Macaca mulatta: one gene and its partner. Each later gene encodes a partner of the first gene's protein in a complex. Links are inferred from orthologs where the notes say so. Each region holds a gene or a part of one and is shown on either strand. Other genes may lie near its edges. The genes, in order: POLE4 and POLE.

Evidence for each region.
Region 2: POLE4 (region 1) and POLE share a complex: the UniProt entries of both Homo sapiens proteins name them as parts of the DNA polymerase epsilon complex. The link is inferred for Macaca mulatta from reciprocal best matches to the Homo sapiens genes POLE4 and POLE.

What each region holds. Positions count from the first base shown.
Region 1 is NC_133418.1:49,825,350-49,829,261, reverse strand, and holds the start of POLE4 (DNA polymerase epsilon subunit 4), read left to right. Parts: upstream 1-1,183; 5' UTR 1,184-1,210; coding exon 1,211-1,423; intron 1,424-1,879; coding exon 1,880-1,964; intron 1,965-2,644; coding exon 2,645-2,686; intron 2,687-3,912. UniProt on the Homo sapiens protein: Accessory component of the DNA polymerase epsilon complex. Participates in DNA repair and in chromosomal DNA replication.
Region 2 is NC_133416.1:140,045,589-140,049,400, reverse strand, and holds part of POLE (DNA polymerase epsilon catalytic subunit A), read left to right. Parts: intron 1-696; coding exon 697-838; intron 839-972; coding exon 973-1,053; intron 1,054-2,075; coding exon 2,076-2,183; intron 2,184-2,524; coding exon 2,525-2,635; intron 2,636-2,904; coding exon 2,905-2,990; intron 2,991-3,206; coding exon 3,207-3,326; intron 3,327-3,812. UniProt on the Homo sapiens protein: Catalytic component of the DNA polymerase epsilon complex. Participates in chromosomal DNA replication.

The DNA of each region.
Region 1 (3,912 bases):
TTAAAATATATAGGGTATTGTGAAAATGACAGAAGTTATGATTTACATAAATGTAAAACACTTTGAATCATGCACATACTAAATGCTCAAAGGGGTTCACTATTATTATGATTGACTTAGATTAAAGCTATTGTAAATATTAACTGTTCCTCTATGCTATCAGACCTCAAAGTGTGGTGTGGGGATTCATGGGGGTGGGAATTTTCTGGAGACCCTTTTCAGGAGTCCATGAGGTCAAAATTATTTTCTTAATACTACTAAGAGGTTATTTGTATTTTTCATTCACATTCTCTCAAGGAGATGCAGTAGTTTTTCAGAGTTACCTGAGAAGTGCTAACGTTATCAACAGAAGCAGCTAGAGAATCCAGTTCTCACATGAAATCAGACATTAGAGACTTTTCTTACTAGATTCATTTTTTAAAAAAAGTTTCTTGTCATAAAAATGTTTGTTAGCTCGTAATGCATTAGTAATTTTAAATCAGTATTTTAAAACTTTAATTCTAATACAGTAAGTACTGATATAACTGACAGAAACAAAAGCTACTTGGGCTCTTTAGTAATCTTTAAGACCGTAAAGGTATCTTGAGGTCAAATTTGAGAACCAAAGCTGTGATGCAACCTGTTTTTGAACAAACGTGGATGCCTTACAACCACAATTTCATCCTTTCCAGCCTCCATGACTTTTTCTTGTTTCCTCTGGCTGGGCTGAATTTCTTCTTATCTGCCTGCAAAAGCCCTACTCCTCCTTCAAGAGCATCCATAACTGAATTTGGTCCAGACTTCGCTGCCTCCCTGGCATCCTCTTCCACGATGCTGGGACCTCCAGGGCCGGGCCTCCCTCGGACACGTGCCCTCCTTAGCCTTGGGGTATTAACATTGTTTTGACGGAGGCTCTCTTGCGAGCCCAGTCTAGATTTCTCCCCTTACCAGCCTGGCACAGGCACCAAGGGGAGGTGCCTGGGCTCCACAGGCCCAACGGGCCAGAGGGTCACCAGTAGCGTCAACCAAGGGCACGACAGCCCAAGGGTGGCCAGGCGCGAGGGAAAAGCCGGAGCCCAGTCCCAGCCCACCCGGTTTCCGGCACCGCCCTGCCGCGTAGGGGCGGAGTCGCGCGCCTACACAGGGTGTGGCCTCCAGCCCGCGCGGGAAAGGGCCTGCGCCGCATGCGCGCGCACAGTCGGCGGCCGCGCGCAGCACGCTCAGGGCCGGGATGGCAGCGGCGGCGGCGGCAGGAAGCGGGACACCCCGAGAGGAGGAGGGACCTGCTGGGGAGGCAGCGGCCTTGCAGCCCCAAGCCCCAACGAGTGTGCCTGGGGCTCGTCTCTCGAGGTTGCCTCTGGCGCGAGTGAAGGCCTTGGTGAAGGCGGACCCCGACGTGACGCTAGCCGGACAGGAAGCCATCTTCATTCTGGCACGAGCCGCGGTGCGGCAGCAGCGCGAGGGCACGCGGGGGTGGGGGAGGTGGAGCGCGGGGCGGAGCCTCGGGGCCTTCCGCGGGCGGGGCTTAGGGTGGCGTGGGCCGGGTTTTGAGATGTGGGTGTGGACCCGGAAGGCGGAGGAAAGGGGCCGGGGACCTATGCGAGTTGTGTGTTTTGTTAACACTCCTCCCTCTTGTTGAGGACCTGGTTAGTGAGTGACTTTAATTTGTATCTCCAGGGCCTCATACAGAACTTGTAGGAGACTTTAGTGAATGAAGGAGAATCCTGGGAAGAGGGTGGCGGAATGGATGTTCATGAAGTCCAGGACAATCTTAGCTTCCAGAACATTTTCTTGCCCCTGAGCCTGCCTTCTCCCTCTCTGCCCCCACCCACAAACCAGAGCCCTCACCTCCTCAGTGTGCTAGAACCCATTACTAAAACTTTGCTTTTTTACTTCACAGGAACTGTTTGTGGAGACCATTGCAAAAGATGCCTACTGTTGTGCTCAGCAGGGAAAAAGGAAAACTCTTCAGAGGAGAGACTTGGGTAGAGTGGCACTGCCAGTGTCTGGGGACAGAGAAGGGAGGGCTGGGCTGGTTTTACCTTGCGCAGGTTGAGAAGACGTCACTCTGATCTGAGAGGTCCCACAGCGTCTCTCCCCAGGATGGTTTCTGTTGGCCACAGTGCCAGGAAGCCCTACCTGTAGAGGCTCTCTGCTTGGGGTGGTGGAGCAGTGTGTGGTGTCTGGGGTTGCCAAAGCGGACTGGATCCCTTCATACCTTCTGCCAAATTGCACCAGAAAAAGATAATTCTTTTTCACCTAGCAACTGGGGATTTGATTTCTGACTCTTGTCTGGTTGGTAACCCTCACCTGTGTAAGCTTTCATATACCGTGTTCTCATGCGCCCTGCGTCTATTGTCACATTCTTCTCTGATAACTTTAAGAGCAAAGCGAATAAATAATTTAGATGTATTTTAGGAGCCCCCTCCCCCCCCCGCATTGAATGGTATTTGCCTACACTTTTCTTACTCTTCTAGGGAGACAACTAATACATATATGAGAGTTGCTGGTAGAGTAGATACGGATCTCAAGGCAGCAAGGGACGCATCTTATAATTGCCCTCATTTGCCCAAAGCCTCATGCCCTTCACTGTAGATTGTGCTGTTTTCTGACTGACGTCAGCATGGCTGGAGTTAGTCAGGTGTCTCTTTGCCTTGTGTTTCAGATAATGCAATAGAAGCTGTGGATGAATTTGCTTTTCTGGAAGGTGAGTTCTCTCTCAGTGGGCAGTCATTTCCACCTGTCTTTTGCATGTTAATGTGAAATTCAAAACCTCATAAAACGGATGCCTGCTTCTTGTTTGTGTAGGGATAATTCTTTCTCCGTACTTGCTGTTAGAAAAAAGTAACTTGCTAAATGAGGTTCAGTTTTCTCCCTTGGGGAATTAAAACTTCTACCTGAAAATTGCTAGCCATAAAGAAATAGGAGGGAATATAAAGATCCCAGTGTAGTTAGATGAATTCAGAAGTTTGATTCCTATCTTGTTCGCCATACCTAGATATCAGCCTTGCCCCTCTTATCATGTTAGAGATCAGAAACAATTGTCAACATTTAAAGGGTGACCGCTTGTTCTTTTTTCTTCAACAATCTGTGTGAAGTGATTATTTTGCTGCAATAAGACTTGTCTGTGTTTTTAGGAGTCATGGATTAACTTGTGTACTAACTAAATTTTTTCATTAAAAAAGCAAATATTTGAAATACCTAATTTTAGCTACCTTGCCTCAGAGCTATTTCTGCTACTTAATTTTTTTTTTTTCTTTTTTGAGACGGGGTCTCGCTCTGTCGCCCAGGCTGTAGTGTGGTGGCGCGATCTCGGCTCACTGCAAGCTCCGCCTCCCGGGTTCACGCCATTCTCCTGCCTCAGCCTCCCCAAGTAGCTAGGACTACAGGCGCCTGCCGCCACGCCCGGCTAATTTTTTTTTTTTGCATTTTTAGTAGAGATGGGGTTTCACTGTGTTAGCCAGGATGGTCTCGATCTCCTGACCTTGTGATCCGCCCGCCTCGGCCTCCCAAAGTGTTAGGATTACAGGCGTGAGCCACCGCACCAGGCCGCTACTTAATTCTTAAATCTGATCAGCTTACTCTTCACTACACATATATAGTCATGTGCTGCATAGTAACATTTTGGTCAGCCATGGACTGCTCACATGAGGGTGGTCCCAGCAGATTATAATGGAGCTGAAAAATTCCTGTTGCCCAGTGAGGTAGTGGTCATAACATCCTAATGAAATACATTACCTTTTCTATGTTTAGATATGTTTAAAAACGCTTATCACCATGTTACATTTGCCTACAGTATTCAGTACAGTAACATACTGTTCAAGTCTGTAGCCTGAGAGCAATAGGTATACCCTGTAGACTAAGTGTATAGTAGGCTATACCATCTAACTTTGTGTAAGTACACTCTATGGTGTTCACACAGTGGTGAAATCG
Region 2 (3,812 bases), on another chromosome or scaffold:
TTTTTTTTTTTGTAGAGATGAGTCTCCCTATGTTGCCCAGGCCTGTCTTGAACTCCTGGGCCTAAGTGTACCTGCTGCCTCCCAGAGTGCTGGGATTAGGGGCATAAGCCACCATGCTTGGCCCTCTTTTTTTTTTTTTTAGTTGGGGTGTAACTCACATCACATAAAATGCATACATCTTACCCTGAATTTTTTTCCTGTCTGTAGGATTATCATCCAAGCAATTCTTTATTTTTTTGAGACGGAGTCTAGCTCTGTTGCCCAGGCTGGAGTGCAATGGCGCAATCTCGGCTCACTGCAACCTTCACCTCCCAGGTTCAAGTGATTCTCCTACCTCAGCCTCCGAAGTATCTGGGATTACAGGCGTGCACCACCACGCCTGGCTAATTTTTGTATTTTTAGTAGAGACGGGGTTTCACCGTGTTGACCACGCTGGTCTCAAACTCCTGACCTCGGGTGATCCGCCCTCCTTGGCCTCCCAAAGTGCTGGGATTATAGGCGTGAGCTGCCATGCCCGGCCCAATCCAAGCCATTCTTAAAGGAAGGACTGCCCTGGTCATTGAAACCACCTCAATTTACCTTTTGTGTTTCCTCAGTTTGGACTCTGGTCTCATCTCTTGCTACTGATTTGGAACTCTGGTCCCACCTCCTCCAGACCCTGGCAGCTGAGTTAGTTGCTCTCTTGTTAATTCCTAGTGTTCTGCAGAGGGGTGGTGTCATTACTGATGAAGAGGAAACCTCTAAGAAGATAGCTGATCAGCTGGACAACATTGTGGACATGCGCGAGTACGATGTTCCCTACCACATCCGCCTCTCCATTGACCTGAAGATCCATGTGGTGAGTAGGGCAGGGTTGGGTTGCTGCTCACATGAATTTCCTAACAGCCAGGAGATGATCATTATGGGTGAATCCACACAGGAGTAGACTTTCCCGGATGTAGAACTCCAGTTAACACACTGTGTGTTTTGCAGGCTCATTGGTACAATGTCAGATACCGTGGAAACGCTTTTCCTGTGGAAATCACCCGCCGAGATGACCTTGTTGAACGACCTGTAAGTTTTGTTGCTTGTATTACCTTCATCATAAAATTTCTGGTTTTCTGGAGAGAATATTCTTTAGTGCTGAAGAGTAAATTTGACTCAAAGATATGTTTCCTGCTTTCCCCCCAAATACTTTATTAAAGGAAATATGGAGTTAGTTTTTCATCAGTTTCTGACAGTATCATGTCCTTTCTTGTTGTATATCACTGCATGACATCAGTATTTGAGCTAGGCAGGATTTGGACATTTGAGGGAAAGCTAGGACTTCCATTGGGTAGTTGATAGTGAAGAGACGTGGTGAAAAATGGATTTGTAACTAGAAGGCCTGGGTTCAAATATGACTTTGTGGTGTTGGGAAAGTCTTTGTATTCAGTTTTCTCTTTTCCGAAACGAAGATATCATCTCTGTGCCACATTTACCTTTCAGGGTTGTCATAACCATCAGAATGAGGTGATGTCTTCTGAAGAGTTTTTCTTTTTTTTTGTTTTTTTTCTTTTGTTTTTTGAGACGGAGTCTGGCTCTGTCGCCCAGGCTGGAGTGCAGTGGCGCGATCTCGGCTCACTGCAAGCTCCGCCTCCTGGGTTTACGCCATTCTCCTGCCTCAGCCTCCTGAGTAGCTGGGACTACAGGCGCCCGCCACCGCGCCCGGCTAATTTTTTGTATTTTTAGTAGAGACGGGGTTTCACCGTGGTCTCGATCTCCTGACCTTGTGATCCGCCCGCCTCGGCCTCCCAAAGTGCTGGGATTACAGGCGTGAGCCACCGCGCCCGGCCTTCTAAAGAGTTTTTCTACTAAAGTTCTGTGATTTTAGGCTTGTCCTGTGATCAGCTGCTCTCTTAGGTGTGTAAGTTTCCACACCATAGAGAGTCGTGATGCTCTTGACGTAGGTTGGTCAGTCTTAGGGTCCCTCTCCCAGCTCTGGAGCCTTTTCACTCTTAACAACCAGAGGGAGGTAGAGCAGGCCGGGGGCCGGTGTTCAGGGAGGCCTGATGGGGAGTTTAGAGCTTGGCTTTATGCTTATTTTGTCCCCACAGGACCCTGTGGTTTTGGCGTTTGACATTGAGACGACCAAACTGCCCCTCAAGTTTCCTGATGCTGAGACAGACCAGATTATGATGATTTCCTACATGATCGACGGCCAGGTGAGCAGGCGGCTTCTGGGAAGAAAGCTCCTGGGATGGGGACCTTGTCTGGTCCCCATACTACAGCAGCGTCTGCCCCACAGTTAGGATGTGTTGAGTGAATAATAAGTTAGTCCAGGAATGGGAGCAGCCAGGCCGTTCCGACTTCCAACTGTACCCTCTCCTTTCCAGTGGGAATCCAGACATGGAGGATCTCTTCTCAGGAAGCTTAGGGCACTTTCACGTTGCTGTGGACTTCTTTGTAGTGAGAATCTCTAGGCAGAGTGTGTGGGCAGGGTGGGGACACCAGGTCTTGGCTTTGCAGCCTCTGACTTGTGCTAATTGCTAATGAACTTCACTAGGGCTACCTCATCACCAACAGGGAGATTGTTTCAGAAGATATTGAAGATTTTGAGTTCACCCCCAAGCCAGAATATGAAGGGCCGTTTTGTGTCTTCAATGAACCCGATGAGGTAAGGAGGTATCACTTGTGAAACTGCCTGGTATTGTGGGAAGAAGGGGCATGCGGATCTTTCCAAGGCCTCGGCATTCCGTCGGATCAGAATTGCAGCTCCATCAGCTTCGTTCTTAGGGTATGACCCTCTTTTCTGCCAGAAACTGGGGCTGGGGTCAGGAATAAGGGCCAGCATGAGGCTGCTGCTTCTGAACTTTGGGGGAGGAATTTGGAAATAGCTTGAAGAAGAGAAAGAGCAGACCTCTGACTGCTGTGACTTGGGTTTAGGCTCATCTGATCCAAAGGTGGTTTGAACACGTCCAGGAGACCAAACCCACCATCATGGTCACCTACAACGGGGACTTTTTTGACTGGTGAGTCTGTGTCTTCTCTGTGAGTAACTGGGCAGCGTTTGAGAGGGAGGGCATTGCATGGTGCGGGGCGCTTCCCATGTTGACTGAGGAGGTGGCTTCTGGGTTCACTCTGCACCTCCCGTGTCTCGGTTACTCCCTGGATCTGAGGGAGGAATGGAGAAAGGGGAATTAGAGCCTGATCTTCCCACTTGCTTGTCTGTCCTCTTTCGAACCCAGGCCATTTGTGGAGGCCCGGGCAGCAGTCCACGGTCTGAGCATGCAGCAGGAGATAGGCTTCCAGAAGGACAGCCAGGGGGAGTACAAGGCACCCCAGTGCATCCACATGGACTGCCTAAGGTAGGGGCTGCACAGCAGCACGGCTCATCACTGCTGTCTGCGAGCGAGATCTGAAGGCCTCTTGCAGACTGTACTGTCACCACATCTCATGGGAGGAGGGTGGCCTCTGAGAGGTGTTTCAGGTCACCCAAGAGGATGGCAGCTACAACCCTGCCGGGGCCCGGGATGTGCTGTCTTTGACTGTTGGCTGACAGTTCGTCAGTGATCAGGCACATTGAGCATCAGCCTCTGGGGTGGGGTAGCCACCGGGAAGACACACTCAACGCACAGGTCCCAGAGCTAGGACCTCATGGAGCTGCACTGCCCAGGCCAGATTGGGATGTGGCAGCCCAGCTGCCTCACAGGACGAGCCTCACAGGACAAGCGCAGATTCCAGATGAGCTGGGGTGGGAGGCAGCTCAAAGCTGCTGAGAATCACGGCGTTCGGGGGCTCTGACATGTCTGGTTGGGAGGACAGGTGGATGTGGAAATGCCAAGAGAAGGAGG